Linked DNA regions of Tamandua tetradactyla. Each later gene encodes a partner of the first gene's protein in a complex. Links are inferred from orthologs where the notes say so. Each region holds a gene or a part of one and is shown in the gene's direction. Other genes may lie near its edges.

Region 1 (7,830 bases):
AATTGTCACAAATTACCTTTATAGAGATTATCCTATAATTTGGCATTGGAGCAAAAGGCTTGGAAACACAGCAGAATAACATATGATGTAAATCTATGTAAGTAAGTTTAATAGAGCCCTTTCAGTGAGTGTTTATAAATCTAAGTAATAAAAAACATTTGATTTTTTTTTTTTTTTGCATGGGCAGGCACCAGGAATCAAACCTGGTTCTCCAGCACGGCAGGTGAGAATTCTGCCTGCTGAGCCATTGTGGCCTACCCGAAACCCTTGATTTTTAAAAACTTTTTATTGTTTAATATAACATATATACAAAGAAAAGAAAGGAAATGAAATGATTTTCAATCTTTCAATTTCTTCTTTTTGTTCATTCCTTGCCTTCTTTATATCCTCCCTCAATTCACTGATTTGGTTTTTGATGAGGTTTTCCATGTCTGTTTGTATATTCTGAATTAATTGTTTCAGCTCCTGTATGTCATTTGAATTGTTGGTTTGTTCCTTTGACTGGGCCATATCTTCAATTTTCCTAGTGTAATTTGTTATTTTTTGCTGGTGTCTAGGCATTTAATTACCTTAATTAGTTTATTCTGGAGATTGCTTTCACTTCTTTTACCTAGGATTTTCTTGCTGGATGAATTTGTTGTCTATCTGTTCTTTGACATTCAGTTCAGCTTAATCTGGACCTCTAGCTTAAGTTTTGTTTAACAGAGGAGAATTTTTCAGTTCTTGTTTTCTTGATTCTTGCCCTGCTTGTATGGTGCCTTTTTCCCCCCACACTTAGGAAGGAAACTTAGGTATTATAGACCCCAGCCGGATTTTCCCAAACCAAACTGGCCTCCTATCAGGAGGGAAGACTCATCTGTGTCGGTTTTCCCTGAGGGTGAGACCCAGCAGGTTCAAAGATTTTCCTGTGAAGTCTCTGGACTCTGTTTTTCTTATACTGCCCAGTATGTGGCACCGGTCTACCTGCAGATCCCACCAACGTAAGATGATGCTGTACCTTTAACTTTGGCAGACTCTCCCTGCTGGCGGAGTGGTAGAGACAGAGGAGGGGTTGTAGGCTGGTTTTAATGGCTTCAAATTAACAAGCCCTGGTATCTAAATTCCTTGAGGGAGGGATTCCACCTGAGTTGGGCTTCACCCCTCCCCTGGGGAAGATACAGTCTTCAGACAAGCCCTCAAATGAGCTTGTTTCTGCCTATGCCTGGGGCAGTTGCAGCCTGAGAAGCCCTGCCGCTGTATCCAAAGGCAGCCAAGCCTCCATAGAGACACAGCCACAAAAACCTCTGTTTCCTTCCTTTTTTTTTTTTGCTTTTTCCGTCAGCCCTGCCCCCTTGGTGCTGGGGCAAAAATGAGTGACCTCTGCTTTGACCAGGTTCACTGGAGCTGGGAGCCTATTTTTAGTAGTCAGAATTTGTTAATTAATTCCACAATTGGTGTTTGGTTGGGCTCAGCCTCTGCTGCTGGTAAAGTCTCTTTCCTTTCCCCTCTGGGAAGCAGCCTGTGGGGGTGGGTCGCCAGCCGCTGTGGCTTGGCGAACTCACGGTTCTGGGGGTCTTGCAGCCAGTCCAGCTGGTCCAGACTGGGGTATGCTGTGTGTCCGGTCACTGACGTGGCCCCAGGAGCTGTTCTCTGAAGTGATTTTCAAAGTACACTTCAACAAGTAGTTACAGAAGAGATTTCAGAGTTTATTATGGGTCGCCATTTCACTATTACAGACTTTTCCTTCTAGTTGCTCCAAAACACTGGAGGCTAGGAGAAATATATATATATATATACATACATATATGTATATTTTGTGAGTGTGAAAAATAACATATAGACAAAACAATAAATTTCAAAGCACATCACAACAATTAGTTGTAGAACAGATTTCAGAGTTTGGTACGGGTTACAGTTTTAAGTTGTTAACTTCTAGGTGTTCTAAGATATTGGAGACTAAAAGAAATATAATTCAGCAATCATACTGGTTTGATAAATCCTACCTTCTTTATATAACTCTACCATCACCTTTGACCTTTCTTCCACTCTTTAGGGTTATTTGGCCTATTGCCCATTCTAACTTTCTCTTGTTAGAAGTGGCTGTCAATAATATGGGATAGGGGGATGGAACTAGTTGATGCTCTGGAGAAGCTGGCCCCTCTGCATTTCAGTGCTTATCTGGTTCGGGGACCCATCTGAAAATTTTAGGTTTTTGGAAAGTTACTGTAGGGCATGGAAGCTTTGTAGAATTTATATGGTGCCCTAGGCATTCTTTAGGATTGGCAGGAATGGTTTGGTTGGGGGTTGGCAAGTTATGGTAGGTAGCAATGTCTAACCGAAGCTTGCGTATGAGCAACCTTCAGAGTAGCCTCTCTACTCTATTTGAACTCTCTCAGCCACTTATACCTTATTTGTTACACTTTTCCCCCTTTTAGTCAGGATGGTATTGTTGATCCCAGGCCATCAGGGAAGCTTTCATCCCTGGATGTCATGTCCTGTCTAGGTGGGGAGGGCAATGATTTCACTTGCACTGTTGGGCTTAGAGAGAGTGAGGCCACATCTGAGCAACAAAAGAAGTCCTCCAGGAATAACTCTTAGGCATACCTATAGGTAGGCTAGCTTCTCTGCTATATATAGAAGCTTCATAAGAGTAAGCCTCAAGACCAAAGGTATAGCCTACTGATTTGGGTGTCCCTAATTTTTCATACAGTATCAGGGGTTTCCCTGGTGGTAAAGTTTAATAGTTCCATATTTTTCCTCCCATTCCTCAAGGACTTTGCCAATACTTTTTTGATTATCTGCTTAACATCCTCTGGGATGTAGTCAGGCATTACATTAAGCTATATAGGATTAAAGGCCCTCATTCTTTTTCTGAAGAAACTCTTGATTTTAATTTCAGCATTTTTTCTTATTGCATTACATAAAATAATTGTTTTATATTTGCCAGCAGCTTAAATATGATTGAGCATGGTAATGACAATGATAATAGCAGCTAACATTTATTGAGGGAAATTTTCCTAACTGCTTTTCATTTCACTTGATGCTTTTGTATTTGCTACAGTCTGTCTTTGCTGTTTGGATGTCTTTCTCACTGGAAAACTAAATCATTTACAGACAGATTTAAAACAATCTCCTTGTGGGGGTACCATGAGGAAGTCCATTTTTGAGCCACATTCCTCTATTACCCAGCACGCTTCCTGTGCCAGTTTGAATCTGTTCAACCGTACCCCAGAAAAGCCAAGTTCTTTAATCCTCATTCAGTATTGCTGGGTCAGAGCTTATTGATTATCCGTGGAGATAATACCCACCCATTTGTGGGTAGTAACTTTGATTAGATGGTTTCCATGGTGATGTGTCTCCACGCATTCAAGGTGGGGTTTGCTTACTACAGCCCTTTAAAAGGGAACCATTTTGGAAAAAAGCTTTAGAACCCAGGCAGCCAGAGACCTTTAGAGATGAAGAAGGAAAATGCCCCTAGGGGCACTTCATGAAACAAAAAGCTTGGAGAGAATGCTAGCAGACTTTGCCATGTTCACCATGTGCCTTTCCAATTGAGAGAGAAACCCGGAACTTCATTGGCCCTCTTGAACCAAGGTATCTTTCCATGGATGCCTTAGATTGGACATTTTTACTGCAAACTTGCAACTGAAAAAATTCCCCTTTTAAAAAGTCGTTCCATTTTAGGTATATTGCTGCATTCTGGCAGCTTTTAAACTAGTACACTTCCCTTGCACTGTAATGATCAATTTGAATATCTTTCTCCCTTAACAGTCTTTGAGGATAAAGAGTATCTTTTATGCACTTTTGGGTCCTCTCTACCACAGTGTTCTACTTTTTTCTAATTATCTTACATTAATTCTTTTTTGAAGAACAATGAACAGCTAACTTTTCATGTAGGATGCAAAGCTTGACCTTGAATTAACATTATTAAACGTGAACTCCATTTCACGATCTGCAGAACGTTTCCACATATTTCACTTTATTGTCCCTACATCTTTGTTAGGGTAGGTATTATTAGTGCATTGGGCATTTATGCAACGTTGAGACCACGGAGGTCACTTGTTTATCAAGTCCTGGTGTGAAGCCTTGGCCTCAGGGATTTTTTTCCCACTCTATTGCAGCTATCAGAGGTGGGATTGATTCCTTAAAATTTGGACAGTTTTGAACAACTGGAGTGAGGAAGCAGGAAGAAGTATTCCAGAACAGGGCAGGTGTGTCTCACGGGTTGAACGAAGGAAGACTTCGGGGAAGCCACAAACAGCAAAGGATGATGGGAATGTCAGGTAGGCCTTCTTCCGCTATTTTGCGATTTAAAATTCCTACGCAGCTCCAAGTTTTACCTCTGGCTCAGGATCGCCTCGCCATTTTCTCTTTAGTCTCTATTTCCTCCCTCTCTTTGCTCTGCTGGGCGCCAGTCTCCCACCACTACTACAGCAGCATCAAACCCGCGAAACACCAAGTGGCTTCTCCACACTTCTCCACCTTCCGCCAGAGGCCCCACCCTCGCCGCGCTACGCCGTGGTTTTCGTTCGCCCGGCGCAAGAGGCACAGGCAGCCAAAACTGAATGCACAGAGGCGGAGCAGCCGAGTAGCAGGAAGCGGCCTCTTATTCCCGGAACCCCGTTGGTTTGTGGGATAGCGGTGGGTTCCTCCCGCCTTGGCAGGTTTTCTGTGTTCCTTCACCCCGCCTCCCGCAGGGACTACGCAAGCTGACCCCGTGGGCAATCATGGCGGCGCACCTTAAGAAGCGAGTGTACGAGGAATTCACTAAAGTGGTTCAGGTAAGCGCCCCTAGGAAAGGTCGCCGCACAGGTCCGGAACGGGAAAGTCATCCCGGCCTCTGCCACTTTGCCGAAACAGACGGCAACAGCGTGAGTTGAGTGCCGAGGGAATGATCAGCTCCCACATTACGGAAAGTATTAGTTTCTTACTACTGTCTGTTAGTGTTTTCTACTACTGTCTATTAGTATTGCAAACCAATATGGGTAGTCTGATACTTTTTTTTTTTAATTTTTAGGAAGAAATAAGTAGTGCTTTTCAGCTTACTAAACTTGCCTTATTTGTTATGACATTTTGTTCTATCATACAGTCTTGCTAGTTCAGGTTACATATCGTCCTCTTTTTACAGATGTGGACATTTAGGGTTCGAGGACGCGACGAATTAGTAACATAGCCCCTCCCAAATCCCGTTCCCAGAAAAGTCATCCAGGGACGATGTGGCTATCTGCAAGGCTCTCAGGGACTGGAAGAGGGGTCTGTGGAGTTCGTTTAGACCCACAGGTGAAAGCAGGCGAGGATCACAGTCTTCATAACAATGGAACTCTCGGTTCTTGGAATAGCTTTGCCTTAGACGGGAGAGTGATCCCTTCCTCTGTTGTAGTTAAGAACAGAGGGGCTGAGGCCCTGCAAGAGAGCCCTCAGTGATTCTCCATGTGTCTTCACATGCCTCTCAGTAGAGGCTGATGGCAAATCATCCTTAGTTACTACTTCTCAAACTTGAGTGTGTATAGCAATGACTTGGAGATCTTGTTTTTTTCTTAAGGTAGTATTGTGAGATATATATTCACATACCATATAATCATCCAAAGTGTACAATTAGTGGTTCACAGTATCATTATATAGCTGTGCATTCATCATCACAATCGAGTTTTGAACATTTTTATTACTCAAAAAAAATAAAATAAAAATAAGAGTGAAAATAAAAGTAAAAAAGAATACCCCAAATATCCCATATCCCCATTCCCCCCATTATTTATTTATTCTTTATCTTATTTTTTTACTCAATTGTTCCTATACTGAATAAAGGGATTGTCAGTAACAAGGTTTTCACAATCACACAGTCACATCTTAAAAGCTTTATAGTTATACAGTCATCTTTAGGAATCAAGACTATTGGATTACAGTTCACCAGTATTAGGTATTTCCCTCTAGCTACTCCAGTACACCAAAAATCGAAGCTACATATTGCATAAGAATAACCTCCAGAATGACCTCTCAGCTCTATTTGAAATCTCTCTGCTACTGAAAGTTTATTTTTGTTTAATCTCTCTTCTCCCTTTTGGTCAAGAAGACATTCTCACTACCTTGATGCCAGTGCCAGACTCATCCCTTGGAGTCATCTCCCACATTACCAGGGAGATTTACACCCTTGGGAGTCATGTCCCATGTAGTGGGGAGGGCAGTGAGTTCATCTGCAGAATCGATTTAGAGAGAGCGAGAGGCCACATCTGAGCAACGAAAGATGTTTTCTGTGGGTGACTCTTAGGCATAATCATAAGTAGGCTTAGCTTCTCCTTTGTAGGAATAAGTTTCATAAAGGCAAGCCCAAGATTGAGAGCCTGGCCCATCAAATTGGCAGTCCCCAGTGCTTGCAAAAATATCAGGTCTTCCCCGGGTGGGGAAGTTGAATATTTCCACCTTTTCCCTCAATCCCTCAAGGAGATGTTCTGTCCAGATTACTCTGGGATGTATCTAACAGCACACTAACTGTACAAACCAAGAAGGTCTTACTCCCTATTCAAGATTCCTTGTAATTATGGTGTTTGAATAAGCTGACCATACAAGTTAAATTAGATAGTGTGCTACTGAAAATATAAATTTGTACCAAATAAACATCTCTTCCTTTGGTGTCACAGAGAGGCTGAAGTTTTAATAGCACTCTGTTAAAGAGTTTCATAGCACTCTATTATAGTTATCTACTTATTGCTTGGTACTGTAATTACCAGTGTAGTATCGCCTTACAAGTCTGGGCTCCTTGAGGGCAGAGATAATGCCAGGCTCATTGCTCTGGAGGGACCACAGTGCCTGCCTCACTAAAATATTATTGATGGTTAAATGACAGCAGATTCTGATTTGTCCTCCCCCTTACATAGTTTCTTAGGGAAAAAAAATCTTTCCAAATTTGAACTAACTGCAGCCTAGAAACACTGGATTTGTGTATAATAAAGCAGGAATGGGTAAGGATTTTAGGGGAAGAGCTTATTTCTTCACTTCAGTCTGCATGAGTGGTTACTGTAGGGAAGAAATGATATCTTAGTGCTTCTGTTCTTACTCTGCTGTGAAGATGAGGGAGAACAGATATGTATCTAGCACATATTAATTGTACAATAAAGTCGTTATAATTTAGACTGTCAAATATCCCAATTATATAGGTATTGGCATTCCCTTTTAGGGAAGGAGAAGGCTTTTCCCACCTTTTAAATGGTTATTGAGTCCAAATTCCCCTGGTCATTCCAAAGTGCTCCTTTTTTTTTTTTTTTAATCATACTATAGTATAATAGTCCTTATCTCTGTAGCAGTGTGATTTTTTTAAGGAGGTGATTGCTCAGGACCTTAGAATAATTTATTAGAATTAATGAAAATTACTGATTACAACTTTTATGTTATCCTAGGATTTTTGTATATACCTACTCCACAGGGCGTGATTTATGCTCTGGAGTGATAGTTCCCTTTTACATGAACTTTCTCACATTCGTTGTATGTAATGACTGCATCTACAGTGTTTCTAATTATGTACCATCCTTAGGAAAATTGAGAAAATAGTTACTCAAATAATTTTCTGTGTTTTGAGATTTATATGAGAAGCCCTGATTGAGAAGGGCTGGTGGTAGATATCATCATTCCTGTGTTACAGATGCGAAGACTGAGACCCATGACTTACTTAGAACAGAGCATAGTTGGAACTCAAACATAACCCTTAATTCCAAATAAATTTTTCATTCAGTAAACATTTGGTCAGTGGCTGCAGTTTGTCAGGTATATAGCAGTGTTTTTCTTTCTTTTTTTTTTTTTTGCATGGGCAGGCACCGGGAATCAAACCTGGGTCTCTGGCATGGCAGGTGAGAACTCTGC
Region 2 (7,479 bases), on another chromosome or scaffold:
ACCCACCATTTAAAGAAAGGATAAGTCCTGGTTGTGCTTTGGTAACATGCTACTGACACTAAGGTGGATCAAGAAAGCACCAGCATCAAACTCATAGAATGGGTGCCAATAGTTTGGAAGAAAACACCAGAGAAAACAGAGGAGCATTTTTTTAAAAAAATGCTGTATCTCTAACACTCGTGTCGATGGAGTTCAATAGAGTGTGGAAAAATTCTAAGTGACAAGAAAGCATTGTATCATAGTTTAATTAGCAGCATTTTTTGTCTCTGTTAATGGCCCCAAAATAGTGGTGATAGTGTATTAGAATTGATGAAATATGGATGTTACCTTGAATTTTCAAAACAACCCTGTATGGCAGGCATTATTATATCATGCCTGGAGTCTGCTGAATCCCATACTATTTATTCTCATTTCTTGTTTATTGGTCTTTGTTCTTTCCCTTTAGGTCATAAGTTCTCTGCGGGTCTAGCACAGTGCCCGTCACATATCAGGTATGCAATTAACAATAGCTGAAAGACTGACTGCAATTTCCTGTTCTTTTGCTAGAAAAACAGTTCCCCTGTGACTCCCTTCTCAATCTGAGTATGTTTATTTACAGGGCTGATTTTGAATGATCTGAGACTTCAACTCTTACTGTGAAACACTGCTCCTTGGAATTTCTTTTTAATAGTAGTCCTTAGCAGCATTTTTCTGAGGACTGATAGTATGTAATATTGGGATTACCAAAATAAAATTTCCTTATGTATGTATTACCTGACTACACTGGATGTAGTTTCACATCTAATTGTTTATGCTTATCACTTCTATATGTTTCTTTGATGTTCTCAATCTTTAAACATCATTGACTAAGGTCATCTCACACAGGTTAGAAGACAGAAGCCACAGCATTGGTGTGCTAGCCAGAAGAGACTTGGTTAGGTTACATATTGAGGAACACTAGGTTCATCTGATTATTATGTTCAGATGTCATGCCCAGATACCAGAAACCGAGTCATTGGCACATAATTATTTTTAAACCGTGTTACCCTGCTTAATTGGTTTAAAATAATTTAAAAGAGCTCTGGTTGGCTCCTACAAATGTATCTAATTCATCAGTTCTTAATTCTGTTAGAATAGCTCCATTTCAACCATTTAAGCCGTTGTCTGGCCCAGAGTCACCATTATTTCAGCAGTTCCTGTACAATTTATTCGCTCCCTTTTAAACTGGGGCCAGAGCATTTGAACAACACTCCTTTAAAAACAGTAGCAGAGAGCACTTTTTCTCCACCATATCTCTTCTGACCAGTGCTTTCTCAGGAACATTTTCCTTGATCTTCTAACCACAACAGGAAACAGGACTGGGCACAGAGACTCCTAACTGGTTCTTCCTCTAGCACTAAAATGCTGGTTCTTCAGTTGAATCTCAGGTGAAATAATTGGCTTGAATTCAGGGGCCACATTTTAGAAAAACAATCTTGCATTATCTTTCTATAACCACATGTTAGAATCACAGGTAGCCTCATGGCTCCCATCTCATGCTCACTCCAGGACCTATGCTCACTGAAGGAGACAGTGGGGATCTCTGGCACGGCTTAAATGACTTTTCTCTTTATTTTTTGCCAAAATATATATAGTTGAATTAAAAAAAAATTAAATAAGCCTCTGCCAAAAATATATTAAATATATTGTGTTAAATATATTGGTGACCACATTCATAGTCTTCCCTTTAGCTGGCAGGGTTGTTTATTTTAGGAGTCCTTGCAAAAATGCAATAAATCTAAGGGTGTTTGAATGTTTTAGTTATTTGTACCTACTAGATGTCAGACACATACTTTTTATACTTTAAGCATGCAGTTCTCAATCACTATTATTTATAAGATTCACATGAAGAGTTTTTCAAAATGTGGACGACCAGGGCCCATTCCAGTTCTACTCTATCAATCACTTTCCTCTGGGGATGGCAAGCTGGTATATTTATTGTCATTACTTTAAGCTCTATATGTGAGGCTGATGTGCATTTCCTGGCTAAGAATCATTGCTTTAAACCATTGTCAACCTGTGCTTTAACTGTCAACCAAATGAGTCACTAAGAATAAACTTGACCTATTTCATAATTTTGTCTAGGGTCTGCCAGTCAATGCTTCCTGGCTTCTGATTGCCTCTTGATTTGCTACCTATGCTTGTTCGGATTTCTTCCTTTTTCTCCCGCCCCCCCCCCCCCCCCCCCCCCACCCCGACCTTTCTGGACATTGCTTCTGGACCAAACACTGGCCTTTGGTTTCAGGCTCCATTTCTGGCATAGGTTCTGGTTACCTGTTTTGGGTTTGGCTGATTGCACTTAGCTTTCCTGCGATTTGCAGAGCTGTTTATACCACACTTATCATTTGGGTTTAGTAATAGTTTTTAATGTGTATGTCATATTTTCCTAGAAAACCTTAAACTCTGAAGGGAGGGCCCCCGTGCTTCATTCCTCTTTTTTTCACTCTCCATCATACCTAGCTCACAGTAGGTCTTCAGCAAAGTGGCTGAACAAACTGCTTAAAGACCTGTATTCCATACCCTTTCTACTTCATAGTCCAAATTCCTTACAAATATCACACTTCTATGGGAGGTACTCACAAAACACCCTATCTACTGAAATAGTCCTACTACAAATTAGCACAAAGTTTCAGAGCATATCTTAAATACTAGGAAAATTCCAAGTTGTGAAACTCACAGATTTTTAAAATGTGACACAAAGTATCTCTTCTCTGCTGACATTAATTGGGACAATTTCTCTAAATGACCGATAGGCAAATATCAAGAATCTCAGAATATTAAAAAAAAAATCACATTTAACATGAGTAGGAAAGTTTCTATAAATAACGACAAAGGCTTATAAGAGCCCTGTGCTCCTAATTCTACCTGTATCTAAGGCAATGTGGCCAGTTCTTCCACTGCAGTAAATTGAGGACACATTACTCCAGGTGAAACGACAGGGGCTTGTTTTAATAGTCTGAAAGGTAGCACGTAGTGGGAGGAAAGAGCTGGGGAAGGGTGATCAGGATCCACTCGGTGCATTCTCGGCTGCCTGGGCAAGGTGAAGTCAGTTTTCCACTTGGAAAGGAAAGGTAATGGGTCATGGCCACCGAGGGCCCTTTCAGCTCTCAAGGCTGGATATCCTAAGGCCCCTTGTAAACTCGACGTGAGAAAGGCATTTCTTCCGCTAGGCCCAGTCAATCTTGCCCCCAGAGTAAAAAGGCAGCAAGCGGCTGACGGATATTTTTATCTTCCCCCATGCCCTTCGGTGGTCTTTTCCTTCTGGCCCCCCGCGGAGGGCACCCGGCCTGCCCCGGCCCCAGCCTCGGCGGCTCCCCTGCAGGCCTGGCCCTGGGTCCGCACTCCCTAGCGAGGTGGCTAGTCCCTGGTCATAAACAACCCCTCCTCCCCCTCCCGGACCCGCCCGCGCCGGGGCCGCCCCCCACGCCCCGCGCCCAGTGCACCGCCTCTCGCTGCACAGTGACCCGCGTGCACTTTGCTCGTCCCTTCAGCACTCGCCCACCGGGTAGGGGTGCGCCACAGAGACCTCCAGAAGAGGCCGAGGCCAGGCTCCCTCCCCCTCCCCCCGACCCCGATCACCTCCACCAGCCCAGAAGAGGCCGGAGGCCCTGACGCGCAGGCGCAAAGCGCGCCCGCCCCTCCCCCACGCCGCGGCCCTTCCGCGGCCCGGCCCCGCCCCTTCCCGGAGCCCGCCTCCGCGCCGGCAGGCCCGCCCGCCCGCCCCTCGCGCTCGCGCTCGCGCGCCCCCGACGCCCCGCCTCCGCGCGTGCTCAGTAACCGTCCCCAAAGCTGGCCTCCAAGCTTCCCCCGCCCCTGAGCTGTTTGAATATGCTAATGAGAGTCTAGGGGCTAGCCAATACGAGGGCGGGGCGGCGCGTCACGTGGCCAGGGGACGTGTCCGGGGGGCGGAGCCTCTGCAGCCCCTGCCCGAGTTAAAACCGGAGTGTGCGAGAGAAAAGCGCTTCAGTAGCGAGAGGGGCTGAGAAAGTGGTGATACCGCTGGGGTGCGGAGGGAGTCCCTGAAACTTCTCCCAACAGCCCCAGGGCCAATCTCCCCTCAGCCCACTCCCCTCTCCGCCAGCTCCCAGGTCCCCACTCCCTGCAACCGGGGGTGGGGTGGGGAGTCGGGCCCGTCTCCCGCTGGGACACACACAGGGGCCGGGAGCGGGGACGGGACCCCCAAGGCGGGGGGGTACGGACCGACAGACAGACGGCCGGGCGCCCGGCCCAGCGGGCAGGCAGGCAGGCGGGCGGAGGCGGAGGCGGGGGTGGACGGGGACGATTGGGTCTGGGGAGTTTCCTCTCAACTATCGGGGGAGAAACTCCCCGCAGCCGGAGGGAAGACCCAGACGGTGTTTTCCTCCCGGGGGCCGCGCGCCGCCGCCGCCCCCGGCGCCTCCGCCGCTGCCATCTCTGCCTCGGCCGGCCGCGGTGTCCCCGGCCAGCACTATGCCCATCTTACTGTTCCTGATAGACACGTCTGCCTCTATGAACCAGCGCAGCCATCTGGGCACCACCTACCTGGACACGGCCAAAGGCGCGGTAGAGACCTTCATGAAGGTACCGACGGAGCGAGCCCGGGCGGCGATCCCGGCCCGGCGGCCCGCGGGGGGCAGGGCGGTGGGGGCGGTGGGGGCGACGGGCCGCGGGGCCGGGGACCCGGCTGCGGGAGCCGCGGGGCCCCTCCCCCACCGCGCGGGCGGGCGGGCGGCGGGCGCTGCGAGCGGGGCTCGGCCGCGGGCGGGGTGCGGGGCCCTTGGGGTGTGGGGGCGGCGTGGGGGGGTGCTGCGTGTGCGGTACTGGGGAGGTGGTGGGGGGATGCGGCGCGGGGACCCTGGCCTGCGTGCTTCCCTCCCGCTCTCCCGCAGCTCCGCGCCCGGGACCCCGCCAGCCGCGGAGACAGGTACATGCTGGTCACTTTCGAAGAGCCGCCCTATGCCATCAAGGTAACAGCCCTCGGCCTCCCCCCCCTCTTGGTGTCGGCTCCGCGCCCTCCCCGCTCCCCCCTCGCTGTCCTCGCGCCCCTCCCCCACCCGCGGGTCTCCGGGCGACTCCCCCGCGGGCCCCCTCCCCCGCCTCGGGTCGCGCGGCGCGGCGCCGAGCCGCCCGCCACCGCCGCCCCCTCCCCGGCGCGGCCCGCGGCGCTGCGCTCAACATGGCCGACATTTCCCCTCCGCGGCGCGGCGGCAGCAATGAACTGTGGGGGATATTCTTCCCAGCGGCCCGGGTGACAGCGGCCCGCCGCGCCCCGCTGGCCCCGGCCGGGAGCCCAGGCGTCCAGGCGGCGGTCGGCACGGGTCAGGCTCCAGCCGGGGGCGCCTGCGGGACGGGGGGCTGCAGAGCCGCCCCCGGAGGGCCCTAGCCTGGCCCGGGCCGCCGGGCAGCTCGAGGTCAGCCGGCGAGGGTCCTCTTCCCTCCAGAACCTTCGCACCCCGCGCCTTGGGGTGTTAGATCAGGTAGTCTACTTCCCAGCCAAGTGACAGAGTGCGGAGGCAGCTGGCCACCCCACCCCGGGAGCAAGCGGCTCCTGTTCTTGGCCACCTTTGGAGGAGAGTTTCCCCAGTTGGGATACAGTATATAAAACAAGTTAACCAGACCATACTGTCAAGAAAAAGAGGCCACTTGGTGAACATCAGATTATAATGGCTGTCCCCAAGACGAAAAAATATTCTTAAATTTTTCTTTTCAGGCTGGATGGAAAGAGAACCATGCAACGTTTATGAATGAACTGAAAAACCTTCAGGCTGAAGGACTTACGACTCTTGGCCAGTCCCTAAGAACAGCTTTTGATTTGTTAAATTTAAATAGATTAGTAACTGGCATAGACAACTATGGGCAGGTAGGTTGAATATTAAGGTGGAAAAATAGTTGATTTTTTCATGCTGTGGGAAAACACATTCCACTCCAAAATCCATATGACCTGAAATAGAAGTATGAAACATTTTAGGTGAAAACTTAAGCTGAAGTAAGTTTAAAACATATAGTAACACGTACTACAAAGGTGAAACTCTCACCTTACTGTTCACGGTTTTGTAGCCCTCTTTTTTTTTGTTCTAACAGTGCATTTGTATTCAGAATTAGAATCTGATTTTTTCTGTAAGTTACGTGTTATGAATTTGGTCTTAATCCCTTGAAGTTCATAAAAGAAGAAACCTGTCTGGTCTTACCCCGTTGCATTGATACCCTACCACAGGCAGATGGGCAACCCTTAGTGGTTGTGGAGTAGTGCTATTTATTTCTATATTAGTAAAAATGTTAGAGGAAATGCAAAAGGGTTTAATTTAATCCTCTGACATAGCAATTCTGAAAGGGTTCTCATTGAGGTACAATGACTGGTTTGGCACATTAAGATTTCTCAGCTTTTGAAGGATACACCATTAGTGACTATTGCAGGGGGATTCTGAATTAAATGGCAGGTCTAGAGGTGTTTTTCTTTGGGGGTGGTGGTGTTTTTTTTTTCAAAACTCCAAACCCTTGGAAAAGAGGCTGTCTGAAAAAATATGAAAGGAACCCTATCTTAACCCCCCCCACAAGTCCGTCTGTTGTACCTGCATTTCTTCATTTGAGGATGACATAAGGTTTCCCACAGAGCCTTAAATCATTTGATGATTCACTATGAAATAATCTAGGTGGTCCTTTATAACTCTTATATGAGATTGCTGGCCTGGAAAATAAAAGATACTGAAGAATGTGTGATGTTGCACATAAGAAAGGAATATTAAACCCAAGGACTTATGATGTAGTGTAAAGCACTATTACCACAATGATACATTTAGTTATACATTACATCTGATCTTTTCCCACGTTCCATGAGCCACAGATTTCATAAGTATCACAGGGAAATTCTTTCTGTGACTGCAACTTTGAACTGTTCCTTTCTTTTAGAAATGTTTGTTTTACTTAATACTGATAACTTGAGTGTTTAAGGACCTTTGCAAATGGCTGATTTTAGTTCAGTGACCTTTAAAGTGTGCATTGCAATGCAGTCACTTCTGCTTTTACCAAATTGCAGGTCATTTAAGTATATGTGTATTTTCTTACCACATTATAGTTTTATTCCACCCCCCTTCATTTCACACCTTTCAGTAATTTAGGCAGATTTGCCATGCCATGAACTTTTTAGTTTGTTTCTATAAAATAATGGGTTTCTTTCCTTTGCTATTTGTAAAGGTGAGGTATCTTATGCTTACATTATAGTTGAAACTTTATTTTTGAAATCAAAGAAAAATGTGAAACTTTCCATTGTTTGGTTATCCTTATTTTTTGGTTAGTATGTAGCAGAACTATTAATTTCCTGTTTTCCACCATCACAATCCTTAAGTGGAAAAGTTCACCAATACTAGCTATTAAGAATATTGTTTAGTTGCTTTCTTAGGAATCCTGATTGTTGTGGAGAAGTTGTGGGCATTTATAACTTAAATGTATGTTTTCCTTTTCCCAGTTGTCATTTTCCATGGAAGA

What was found.
Region 2: INTS4 (region 1) and INTS6 share a complex: the UniProt entries of both Homo sapiens proteins name them as parts of the integrator complex. The link is inferred for Tamandua tetradactyla from reciprocal best matches to the Homo sapiens genes INTS4 and INTS6.

What each region holds. Positions count from the first base shown.
Region 1 is NC_135334.1:66,679,082-66,686,911, forward strand, and holds the start of INTS4 (integrator complex subunit 4), read left to right. Parts: upstream 1-4,606; 5' UTR 4,607-4,706; coding exon 4,707-4,760; intron 4,761-7,830. UniProt on the Homo sapiens protein: Component of the integrator complex, a multiprotein complex that terminates RNA polymerase II (Pol II) transcription in the promoter-proximal region of genes.
Region 2 is NC_135330.1:104,750,206-104,757,684, reverse strand, and holds the start of INTS6 (integrator complex subunit 6), read left to right. Parts: upstream 1-4,392; 5' UTR 4,393-4,467; coding exon 4,468-4,578; exon of another isoform or gene 4,579-4,650; intron 4,651-4,886; coding exon 4,887-4,964; intron 4,965-5,707; coding exon 5,708-5,857; intron 5,858-7,479. UniProt on the Homo sapiens protein: Component of the integrator complex, a multiprotein complex that terminates RNA polymerase II (Pol II) transcription in the promoter-proximal region of genes.